Arabidopsis thaliana: one gene and its partners. The protein of the gene in region 1 interacts with the protein of each later gene in a pairwise test. Each region holds a gene or a part of one and is shown in the gene's direction. Other genes may lie near its edges. The genes, in order: MEE60, AT3G15800 and SOB3.

The links.
Region 2: the proteins of MEE60 (region 1) and AT3G15800 interact in a protein complementation assay, tested with the Arabidopsis thaliana proteins (one large-scale study listed by BioGRID).
Region 3: the proteins of MEE60 (region 1) and SOB3 interact in a two-hybrid assay, tested with the Arabidopsis thaliana proteins (one large-scale study listed by BioGRID).

What each region holds. Positions count from the first base shown.
Region 1 is NC_003076.8:1,787,121-1,790,527, forward strand, and holds MEE60 (maternal effect embryo arrest 60), read left to right. Parts: upstream 1-1,617; 5' UTR 1,618-1,693; coding exon 1,694-2,221; 3' UTR 2,222-2,872; downstream 2,873-3,407. Other genes in the region: ROPGEF5 (ROP guanine nucleotide exchange factor 5), read left to right, coding at 1-182, 265-627, 713-1,243; AT5G05960 (Bifunctional inhibitor/lipid-transfer protein/seed storage 2S albumin superfamily protein), read left to right, coding at 3,136-3,407.
Region 2 is NC_003074.8:5,343,092-5,347,724, forward strand, and holds AT3G15800 (Glycosyl hydrolase superfamily protein), read left to right. Parts: upstream 1-1,897; 5' UTR 1,898-1,959; coding exon 1,960-2,472; intron 2,473-2,896; coding exon 2,897-3,214; intron 3,215-3,528; coding exon 3,529-3,897; 3' UTR 3,898-4,056; downstream 4,057-4,633. Other genes in the region: MBD11 (methyl-CPG-binding domain 11), read left to right, coding at 118-180, 594-1,295.
Region 3 is NC_003070.9:28,702,846-28,707,219, forward strand, and holds SOB3 (Putative AT-hook DNA-binding family protein), read left to right. Parts: upstream 1-2,117; 5' UTR 2,118-2,686; coding exon 2,687-3,595; 3' UTR 3,596-3,846; downstream 3,847-4,374. UniProt on the Arabidopsis thaliana protein: Transcription factor that specifically binds AT-rich DNA sequences related to the nuclear matrix attachment regions (MARs). Acts redundantly with AHL18, AHL22 and AHL27 in the regulation of flowering and regulation of the hypocotyl elongation.

The sequences.
Region 1 (3,407 bases):
AGGAGAAATGGTGGTTGCCTGTTCCTCGTTTAGCACCGAATGGTCTTACTGAAGAAGCAAGAACAGAATTGAATCATAAGAGGGAATGTGCGACGCAGATACTTAAAGCTGCAATGGCTATTAACAGCCTTGCTTTAACCGAAATGGATGTTCCTAAATCATACCTTGAAACCCTTCCAAAGGTCTACATCTTTAACTCAAAACATCCCTATAAAAACCATTGTAAGGTTTTTTTTTTGTTCTGACATTAAACTTTTGGTACAGAACGGTAGGTCCTGCCTTGGGGATGTTATCTACAGGTATGTAACATCTGACAAATTTTCTGCGGAGTCTCTTCTCGATTGCCTTGATCTGTCCTCTGAGCATATTGCTCTTGATATCGCAAACCGTGTGGAAGCTTCGATATATGTTTGGAGGAGAAGAGTTCAAACAAAACTTGGAGTCAACAATAATACTTCAAGCACTACTCCAAAGTTAACATGGGAAATGGTCAAAGAACTAATGGCTGCTGGTGACAAAAGGGGATTGCTTGTGGAGAGATCGGAAACTCTCTTACGTTGCTTGAAGCAGCGGTTTCCTTCTCTAACGCAGACTTCTCTAGACATAAGCAAGATTCAATGGAACAAGGTCCAGACACACAAATCCTCTAAATACATTACAGTACAAAATGGCTTTGCTTGTTCTTATATATTCAGTCCTTTGAAAATTTCAGGATATTGGGAAATCAATCCTCGAAAGCTACTCAAGGGCTTTGGAGAGCTTAGCATCAAACATCATAGCACGAATCGATGATTTACTCTACGTGGACGACTTAACAAAGCAATCAGATGATAACAATCTTTTGTCAAGTCCAGCGGTCAGCAGCATTATAGCTCACAAGAAAGTAGTACCACTCCCTTATCTAATATCTGCATCAGGAACTCCATATAGAACAAGCTTCTCAACAACACCAGGCTTCTCTCCTTCAATGATTAGCCCCAAGAAAGGAGAGAGGAGAACACCTTACTCCAGCAAGGACACTAACAAAATCATTGAGAAAGGTCTTCCTTCTCGAGGATATGGAGTGAGAAGAGTCTTGAACAATTATCTTGGCATGGAATCAAAACTGAAAATATGCGTTAATCCGTCAGATAATGCAGATACAGCAGTGATTAACCAAATCAGCAAAGACGTGGAAGAAGAGAAGAAAAGAAACTCAACATCAGTCCATCAAAAGGGTCCTCCAAAGTACACTGTCTCTTAAAAGCTAATAGAAGAAACTCAATAGAGTGTATAATTAATGCAGACATGGATTGATTTGTTTGATATTTACTTGTAGTTTCTGTCTTATTTGGAATGGTAAAGTGTCTATCTTTGCAAACCAAATCAGATCACAAAATAGACAAAAATGAGAGTGGTTGTAACAAATATTCTCATCAAATTTGTTCTGGTTTGGTTTACTAGCTTTATTTATTTGGTAAACAATCACCAATAACGTGTATAATTTAAAGTTATGATTATAATGTTTCTTTTTGTAACCCACTACAAAATGTCGTTGTAGTATAGTGGTAAGTATTCCCGCCTGTCACGCGGGTGACCCGGGTTCGATCCCCGGCAACGGCGATTTTTTTTTTTTTTAAATCTCTTCCTCCTTTTTTATTTCCTTTCTGAACGAAGCTCTCTCTCTGATTGGCCGGATCTGCCGGAGAGAAAAATGACGACGAGTATTCACATCACAGCTCTCGACGGAATCGTCAACGTGAACTCACTCTTCACACTCGCCGTATTCATCGGATTAGCTTGGAACCCTACCGATCCAGACAACAGCCTCGTAACCGACCCTAATTGCGTCCCCACAGCTCGTATGGCTGAGAATCTCGTCGCCTTCCATGTGTACTCTTTCGCATCATTCCTATTCTCAAGTCTCATCGCTCTAGGTCTCAAACAAGCAATGAGGCTCAACATAGCTTCTTCGTTTCACATCTCTACTCGAATCGATCCTGTGGTTTACTATGTGAACAAGACGGCTCTTAGATTTGGGATGGTTACATCCGGTTTGGGATCGGTTTGTGGATGTGGGTTTCTCATGTTGGCTTTGATTAATGTTGTTCAGATCAAGCTTGGGACTTTGGGCTGTGGTGCTAGTGGTCATACTTATGCAGCTGTTGTGCCGCTTGTGATTCTGGTTCCTTCTGCACTTTTCATCTATGTTTCTCTTATGTTATATGCTTTTACTCGTTAGAGACATGGTTTTTGATTCCATGGTTGATGCAATTAGGGTTATGTTTGTATGATGATGATATGATGGAAATGAGAATGATTCTATGTTTGATATGGTTCTTTGTAAATCTCTTGGTTTGGCTTCTGATTTAAGTTTAGTGTCTGAGTTTTTGGATAGATGATATTCTAGATTTGATTGGAGTTAGGCACTTATGTGTGTTTTATCAGGAATATTAACTGGTGGATTCATTCAAACTGATTTGATCCCAGGAAATGGGTATGAGATTATGCTGGATTCTGATGCCTGTTTGGTTTGATCTCTTGGATTATTGATAAAGCAGAGTCTACTTGGAATCATTCATCAAAAAGAGACAACTTTTCTCTGTTCCTCATTTGGATAGAGTTTTTTCACTTGTTTATAGTTTTGTGTCTTCTGACTAAGCTGAATGATTGATTTCCTCTGTATACTATCCCATTCCCACATATCTCGGGAACTGCTTTGTATGCATAATTGTATGAAAAAATAGCTTTGAGGACTGGAGAAAAGGAACCTGATATATCTAGATCTCATGAGGTGATCAGTGAATTTTCAGCTTAAAACTTGAAGGCTCATAAAACCATACTTTTGGAAGCTTTTTCTTTGGTTTATGCTATTACATTTGTCATGTAAAAATACCTCTTTGCTTTCTTCAAAGGTTCAAATGATTAGCTTAGAGACTAAAGGGCAGCATGATCTTACTTTAGATTAAAATAGCTATGCACTTAGAGGCTCTTAATGCGACTGATTAGGTGAAGTAATTACTATGTTCCTTTAGTGCTTCTTCCACTACTTCTGTGTGGAATTTCTCTGATCCTTCCAAATCCTCCTGCAATTTCAGTTGCTATAAAACTTAGGTTCCATAACTAGTAGTATATGCATCAACTCATCACTCAAGAATGGAAACCCATGTTTTATCTCGCATTTTCCTCCTAGTTCTCTGCATCTACAGCCTTAAAACCATGGTTTATGGGGCTGGAGAATGTGGGAGAAATCCTCCAGACAGAGAAGCCATAAAGTTGGCTCCTTGTGCAATGGCTGCACAAGACACATCTGCTAAAGTGTCAGCAATTTGCTGTGCTCGAGTGAAACAGATGGGGCAGAATCCAAAATGCCTTTGTGCTGTCATGCTTTCTTCCACAGCTAGGAGCTCCGGAGCAAAGCCAGAGAT
Region 2 (4,633 bases), on another chromosome or scaffold:
AGGTTGTCTGTTGCTTCATTCGTGTAAATTGTTAAATTTTTTGTTTTTGTTTTCTTGGCATTTTGTGGTTGATCTTTCTAATTTGTTTTCAGGGGTTGCTAAAGGGAAAGGAGAGAGATGGGTGGTGAAGAGGAAGTTGTTTCTGTTGAGCTACCAGCACCTTCTTCATGGAAGAAATTGGTTTGTTTTCTTTGTTTCATACAAAGACTTAGAATTTGTTGTATATGTGTAGTGCTGCAATTACCAAATCTTTTTCTTTGAAGACTCTGAATATGGTAGCTTTTGGTGGCGAAATGTTAGTATAAGTGTAAATAACTTTATGTTGATTAGGTGATTCAAAGGTTATAGACTTAGAAAAAGCCACATTTGATTGTGTTTGATCTACTATTTCTACTTCTTTGTTCTTGACTTAATGCCTCATTTTGACTATGTTTGATTTACTTCTTACTTTTCCCGATTCTTATGGATTTTAAGCCACTTGTAAACATTGTTTAAGCTACATTAAGGTCTTCTTTAGAATTTAATCTTTCAGCGTTTTGAACCTCAAATTTTCATATTTTCAGAGGTTTACATTAACTGACTTGTTTTTGCAGTTTTACCCCAACAAAGTGGGTTCAGTGAAGAAAACAGAGGTTGTGTTTGTGGCTCCAACGGGTGAGGAGATTAGTAACAGAAAGCAGCTGGAGCAGTATCTCAAATCGCACCCTGGAAACCCCGCGATCGCAGAGTTTGATTGGACGACTAGTGGGACACCTAGGAGATCTGCAAGAATCAGTGAGAAGACTAAGGCTACGCCGTCACCAGATAAAGAGCCACCCAAGAAGCGAGGTAGAACCAAATCTCCAGTGTCAAAGAAAGATGCAGAAGGTGAGAAATCAGAGGGAGGAGGAGAGGAAAACTCTCATGTGAAAGATACTGAAATGAATCCTCCAGAGGGAATCGCCGAGAATGAAAATGTGACCGATAAGAATGGCTCCGGTGAAACTGAGAGGGTGAATGATGCAAAAGAAAACATTGTTGCTGAGGAAACTCCAAATGCGGCTCCAGTTCAAGAAGAGGGTGAGTCGATGAAGGAGAAAGCTCTGGATTCTGTTGATGATAAGAGTAAGGAGACTGACAAAGAAAAAGATACTGGCTCAATCGAAAAGAACTCGGTAGATGTAGAGAAGAAGACCGTTGAAGCTAGTGATGAGAAGAAGAATTCTGAAGCTGAGACCAGAAACCATGAAGAAAATGGTCTGACCACAGAAGCTGAGGGGAAAGAGAAAACAGCAGAAGGAGAAGCTACCGGATAGCCCTGTTCTGCTCTGCTTCTGTTAGCTCATGAAACTGTAAGTCAGTTGTTTCTATCAATCTATTGAAGTATATGGTTTCCTTTTTGCTTCCTACTCGGAGCATTATCGCGGTGAAAGGTGTTGTTAGGCTGAGATATGTATTATGAGATATGTGCAAGTTCTGTTTGGTTGTAAGGTTATGTAGAGGATATATTATTGACTCTTCTCTAAAACCATTGCAATCACTAGGTTTGATGTTTTATCTTTCTGCTACAATCTTTAGTCATTTTCGTATGGATGGACAATCAAGTTATGAACAAGTCAGATTAAAGATCCACACATAGATTAATCTTCTAGATTTCTTTTTATCATTGGTTCAATCTTCATTTGAACGCCATAAAATGGGAAACCCAAATAAAAAAATGGAAGAAAGCAGAAGAAGACAAGAGGAAAAAGGTAAAAGTTTTGCTTTGAGAGTAAAGTAAGAATCTAATGCAAAGAAAGACTTACAATGTTAGTTTTCTTATTTCCTTGATTCCATCCTTTTGCATGGTCCCAGGGACGAGGGTTTAGAATCTTTCTATTAAGGAACAACTTCATAGTATAAACTCTTATTGTTCCCATTTTAGGATTAAAAAAAAAACTTGCTCTGTTTTCAAAAACATCATTCGAGACAGTATCTCAAATGGGTTATTGTGTTCCTCTTCGAAAGTCTCCAACTTCACATATGGTTTTCTCTTCTTTCTTCCTTTCGTTTCTCTTAGTCTTCTCTATACTCTCTTCACAAACGGCCGTAGCATTCATCGGAACATATGGTGTAAACTACGGTCGCATAGCGGATAATCTTCCGTCTCCTGACGCGGTAGCAACTCTCCTTAAATCAGCAAAGATTAGAAACACCCGTATCTACGATGCTGACCACTCTGTACTCACGGCGTTCCGCGGGACCGGGATTGAAATCATCGTTGGCTTAGGCAACGAGTTTCTCAAAGACATTAGTGTAGGAGAAGACCGAGCCATGAACTGGATTAAAGAAAACGTCGAGCCTTTCATACGAGGCGGTACTAAAATTAGCGGTATCGCGGTGGGTAACGAGATTTTAGGTGGCACCGATATCGGGCTTTGGGAAGCTCTCTTACCCGCAGCCAAGAACGTTTACTCCGCTCTTCGCCGTCTCGGTCTTCACAATGTCGTCGAGGTACATTACCTTAATCTTGCATACCAAACATGTCGCTAAAACCATGACATCTCGAATTTGCTTATTTTGTTTGGAAAAAGTTTTTTTAAAAGATTGCACGTTTAACCAACGTTAAATCTCATAAATACATTATTTTTTTCCGAGTAAAGTTGAGAATTTTCTTACAGACAAAATGATCAATCATTTTTTTGTAACCCAAAATGATTCAGTTTAAATATATAAATCTATTAACCTAGTAACAGAAGTTTGTATTAATGATATGACCATGTCGATCATAATCCAGCTAAGATACGTTAGTAGGCATGCATCAATTTGGATTTCTCTTTGAATTTTTTTCTTTTTAAATCATCTCTAATATTTTTAGGACATCAAACTTAGAACTTAAATGATGATTTAGCCTAAAACATTCAATATTTGTTTATAGGTGTCGAGTCCACATTCAGAGGCAGTGTTTGCGAACTCGTATCCACCGTCTTCGTGTACGTTCAGGGACGATGTGGCGCCGTTTATGAAGCCGTTGTTAGCGTTTTTTTGGCAAATTCAGTCGCCGTTCTACATTAACGCCTACCCTTTTCTTGCATATAAATCCGACCCGATTACAATTGACATCAATTACGCCCTTTTCGAGCACAACAAAGGCATCTTGGACCCTAAAACCAAGCTTCATTACGATAACATGTTCGACGCCATGGTCGATGCTTCTTATGCTGCTCTCGAAAAAGCTGGCTACACAAAAGTCCCGGTACGTCCGATCCTTATTACTATCAACCCTTTTTTTGTTTGGTTTCCATTAACATTTTCCCTTTGTTACAAGCTTTGCAAAGTACAAACGTAAATGTCAAACTAGACTAAAGACATTTTTTTGGGGTCAAAAACATGCATTATATGAGTTTCAACTGAATAATTTGACTCGTTATATGCATTTTTATTTTTCTATCAGTAACATGCATTTTTTATCTTTTGCTATCAGTACTACATGCACTAAGCTACATGTCTTGTCGTACGCGGATTTAAAAGCGTCATGCGAACCTGATTTAATCATTTAATTGTACCTAGGTGATTGTTTCGGAGACGGGATGGGCATCAAAAGGCGATGCAGACGAGCCTGGAGCGTCGGTAAAGAACGCGAGAACATATAATCGGAATCTTAGGAAGCGGCTGCAGAAGAGGAAAGGAACACCGTACAGACCAGACATGGTGGTGAGAGCTTACGTGTTTGCTCTTTTCAACGAGAACTCGAAACCAGGTCCCACTTCCGAGAGAAACTTTGGCCTTTTTAAACCCGATGGTACTATTGCCTACGATATTGGCTTAACCGGACTCAAGTCCTCTTCTGCCACACGGTATCGTTTTAAGTCGTCTCTTGTTTCCGCTTCTGCTTTCACGTGTCTTCTTCTTCTTTTTCACCGGTTGTTCCACTTGTGAGATTTGTGATTTTTTTAATTGGTCCTTTGATTATCAAGTTAACCCGTAATTCTTGATTTGCTTGTGATTAGTCACTTTTAACTTTAAAATGTTAATATACGAGCTCCTAATTACTTTGTGTAATGTCTTCTTGAAATGATATTGTTTAGTGAGGGTAAATGTTGGATTTTTCTACATTATTCTCTAAATATTTCATCCCAAGTCAAAAACAGTTAAAGAAAAAGTTTATTACATAAGCTGCATATGTGAGTTTTTGATGGGACTCAATCACATGAAAACATCACTAGCTACATAACTATTTAAATGTTGTGTACTCACATAAATTTTGATCAAGTATTTGTTCTAACTATAAAATTATTTTATTTGTTTTGTCCATTGTCTACTTGGTATATATAGCTATCAACCATGTATTTACGTGAGCATGAAAATTTTGATTACGTTAACGAATCAAATCTAGAGAGTGCATTAGTCAAGATATATCTTCTCTCTTTATTAGATGCCTATATAGTTTTCTTATAAATCTTATTCGACCACCTTCTATTTATGTATTAATATTCCTACGCACTCTCTGATCTTGTGTCAACTAACACTAATAAAATTATTCATGAGATTCAATTTCCACTTGGCAGTAAACATGTGTACGATACACGTTACATCTCTCCTATATATTAAAAAAGTTAGTACTTCGATAGAAACATTTTGCAACTAACACAATAAATAAAAATTTATCAATCGA
Region 3 (4,374 bases), on another chromosome or scaffold:
AAAACGTCTTAATTTTTTCTATACTTGATAAAATTTAAAAGACATTTAGATTATAATTATTAACATACTAAAAATGTGTTTCATAAATTGCAAAAAAAGCAAAGAATGGTTTGACTCATATTTATATGTAAGAAATAACCTTTGAGTTGAAAAGAATACACAAAATAACTTAGAACCAAATAGTACTTGTCGGTTACAGAAATTTTGGCAATATTTAGTCTATTTTAGCCTTTCTCTTTCTTCTTCCTTCTTTTATTTCTTTTTCATGTTCTTTACGAGACTTTAGCCATAGAGTTCTCTTTCTCTTTTCATCTTTAACACAATTCATCTTCTTCAGATTCACCATGTCATTTTCTTTTTCTATTTCTCTCTCCCTCTCCTAAAATAATCTTCACCACCTCTCATAAAATATATCATCATATCTCTTTATTTTTGTTCACCCACATGTTCTCTCTTTCTTTTTCCATAGAAATCTCTCTATCTCTCATTCTTTATTTTCTCTTTTTACCTGAATTCTCCGTCAATGTCGTTGTGATATAAGAGATTAAATTTGATTTTAAAACAAATATCTGATTTTAAAATGCATGTATTTTAAGAACAAAACATGTTATTAACACTAATATATTAATATTTGTCATGCTATCCAACAAAAACTCATGAAATAAATAAATATTTGTCATGTTATCCAATAAAAACCCATGTAATATTGTAATTTTTTAAATTTCGCAATCTATAAGAGAATTGCATGCTTTTTATAAATATTTCGTGCTATTTCTGAAAAACACATTATTTCAGAGAAACATATATATCGTGTATATATATTCTGTATGTATTTTAAAGAATTGCATGCTCTTTTGTAAATATATCATATTATTTTAGACAAATACATAAAAACTTTATAACTACAACCACCGATATTTTTGTAAAAACAAGAAAATCTAAGGATATTTTAGTATTTTATCCACCATAGAAAATGTTATTTACCTAAGTTTCCTGACACAAGGCTATTCTCTCAATTCTTTTCAATTCCATGGTTACTTTCTAATATTACCCTATATAATATTGATATTTTCAAACTTTTGATGTAAATATGAAATTTTCAATGTAGAAACTTAACACATGTCACTGGAGAGATGATGCTTTTTATATGTTTATTTTAAACAAATCCCACTTAAAATCTGTATACACTTTTTTGGGGTACCTTATGTAGATTATATCGAATTTCATGAATTTCTAACTTAGAAAGTTAATATACATTGATAATAAATAGTTTGGTCTATATTTTTTTTACTATCAATAATAATTTATAATTAGTTTAATAAAAATTGAAGTGCACTCACTCATGGTAATAGTTTTTAATTAGTTTTAGAATATATGACCAAGACCAAAAACATTTTGAAACTGAATTTAGTTTTGAATAGGTAGAATCTCGGTTTTAAAGAAAATGATGAAATTCATAATGGAAGGCGTTACATGCACACGCTTCAAGGCAATTCGATTCATGGCTAACATTTTTGATTCACTTTTATTTTACTTTTTGTCATCTGTTTATTCTGTTTCAATTAAGTGTCGTTTTAAGACTTTAATTTTGTTTCAGGATAAATTTTATTTTATATTTTCAATGCAAATATTTTTTTTTGTTAAAATTTCATGTCTTATCTATGTTTTTCTAACAGATTGACAAAAAAAAAATCTATGTTTTTCTAACGTATTAACTGATGAAAGAAATATAATTGTGTATTAATGAAAGATAGAAGTGAAACTTTAATTAAATTTTAATACTATATGTTAATTAACTTTAAACAGCATATAATGATAAATGGTGGGAGTATTACATTTGTTTCTAGGGAATACTGCATTATTATGCGGACAAATTTGATATGTAACTTTCAAAAACTTATACAATAATTTATATTTAGACTTCTCGTTTGTTTTCTATATAATAATTTCCAACAACTTTATCAAAAAAAATAAAAAAAAATTCCAACAATTTAATATCAGCATGTTTCTTCCATCTCCTATTCATATACCTTTGGCTTTTAAATTGTAAATTTCTTAATTTCCTTTTTCTTTAAATTTTAACTCTTAAAAGTTTTCCTTTATTTTCTTGGTTTGAAGCTATATGCCAAAAAGGGAAACGCATATATCCAGAGAAGAAAAACTCGAAACCCTTGTCTTTTCATGGATTTCAAGTATATTATTAATATGCAATTATTCGTATATTAATATATGCCCCTATGCGTATTTTATTTTTTAATGCGAAAGGAATGATATTCAGCTAAATTTTCGGTGTGTCTATTGCTTTTTTTTTCCCTTTCCTCGTTCAAAAAAAGTACTTGCAGAGTCACTCACTCTCAGTCTCAGCACATGAATTAATTTGAAGCTTCCCTAGAATTCTTTCACATCAATTAATACGACACCGTCTCGGGTGAAGAATCTCTCCTCTCTTGCCCTAAAGCGAGTTAGGGTTTAACACACAAAGCATACCCTTTAGATTTGTGTCTCTTAGCTCTGTTTTTGTCGGCTTGTGTAACCGATCAACTCAAGCTATTGGCTCCTCACCTCCTGAAATTTGACTTCTCCAATGGATCTCAAAGTTTCTCTTATATGAATTCTATCTTCACCCTCACAATATCTTTATATATATGAGCCACAAGAACAAGAAGAGTCAGTAGATGCGGCTGCCATGGACGGTGGTTACGATCAATCCGGAGGAGCTTCTAGATACTTTCACAACCTCTTCAGGCCTGAGCTTCATCACCAGCTTCAACCTCAGCCTCAACTTCACCCTTTGCCTCAGCCTCAGCCTCAACCTCAGCCTCAGCAGCAGAATTCAGATGATGAATCTGACTCCAACAAGGATCCGGGTTCCGACCCAGTTACCTCTGGTTCAACCGGGAAACGTCCACGTGGACGTCCTCCGGGATCCAAGAACAAGCCGAAGCCACCGGTGATAGTGACTAGAGATAGCCCCAACGTGCTTAGATCTCATGTTCTTGAAGTCTCATCTGGAGCCGACATAGTCGAGAGCGTTACCACTTACGCTCGCAGGAGAGGAAGAGGAGTCTCCATTCTCAGTGGTAACGGCACGGTGGCTAACGTCAGTCTCCGGCAGCCGGCAACGACAGCGGCTCATGGGGCAAATGGTGGAACCGGAGGTGTTGTGGCTCTACATGGAAGGTTTGAGATACTTTCCCTCACAGGTACGGTGTTGCCGCCCCCTGCGCCGCCAGGATCCGGTGGTCTTTCTATCTTTCTTTCCGGCGTTCAAGGTCAGGTGATTGGAGGAAACGTGGTGGCTCCGCTTGTGGCTTCGGGTCCAGTGATACTAATGGCTGCATCGTTCTCTAATGCAACTTTCGAAAGGCTTCCCCTTGAAGATGAAGGAGGAGAAGGTGGAGAGGGAGGAGAAGTTGGAGAGGGAGGAGGAGGAGAAGGTGGTCCACCGCCGGCCACGTCATCATCACCACCATCTGGAGCCGGTCAAGGACAGTTAAGAGGTAACATGAGTGGTTATGATCAGTTTGCCGGTGATCCTCATTTGCTTGGTTGGGGAGCCGCAGCCGCAGCCGCACCACCAAGACCAGCCTTTTAGAATTGAAAATTATGTCCGTAACATAGCTGTAACCAAATTTCATTTCTCAAAATTAAAAGAAAAAAAAAATCATCTTCATTGTTTGGGGATCGTTTGGTTTTTAATTTAGTTGATCATATATGAATATTTGAATTCGTCTTGAGATGATATACTTCTCCATCTGCATTTTCTCTTCTTTTTTAATCACTAGGGTTTCGTGCTGTCCCTATATATTATTTGTTATATGCTTGAGTTCACAATAAAAGTGCTATTAGAAGCCAATTTTTATATATCACTTAGTTACCTTTGTAATTGGATAACAAAAAAGTTATTGAGTACATTTTATAGAAATATTGAAATGGCTCATACTTGTATATATCATGGATGTGGTATGTGTAATCCCCTTTTTGAGTAGTTATCAAAGGTAATCACTCAATCTATGTTACTATGTCTATCAAGTAATCAACCAACAAATCAAACATCTTGTTCTTTTTAATTCATCTAGATACCATACATGAATCTTCGAGATTTTATGATTTGAAAATCTCTAGATTGAATATCTTGTTTACGCATGGAATCTCTGATTTAGTACATGTTTCACCCAACTGAGTTCTACATTGTATTTCGATGAGATCAATATGAATATTTCTTCGTTTTTATCAATTAATCACGAAAATAACGCGTTAAGAATCTACCAAAAAGTAAATAACGCTTTAGAAATTTTACGAAAAACTAAATAACTATTTAGAATTTTATGAGTTTGTTTTAAAGACAGCGGTTACTGTGATAATTGCATACTA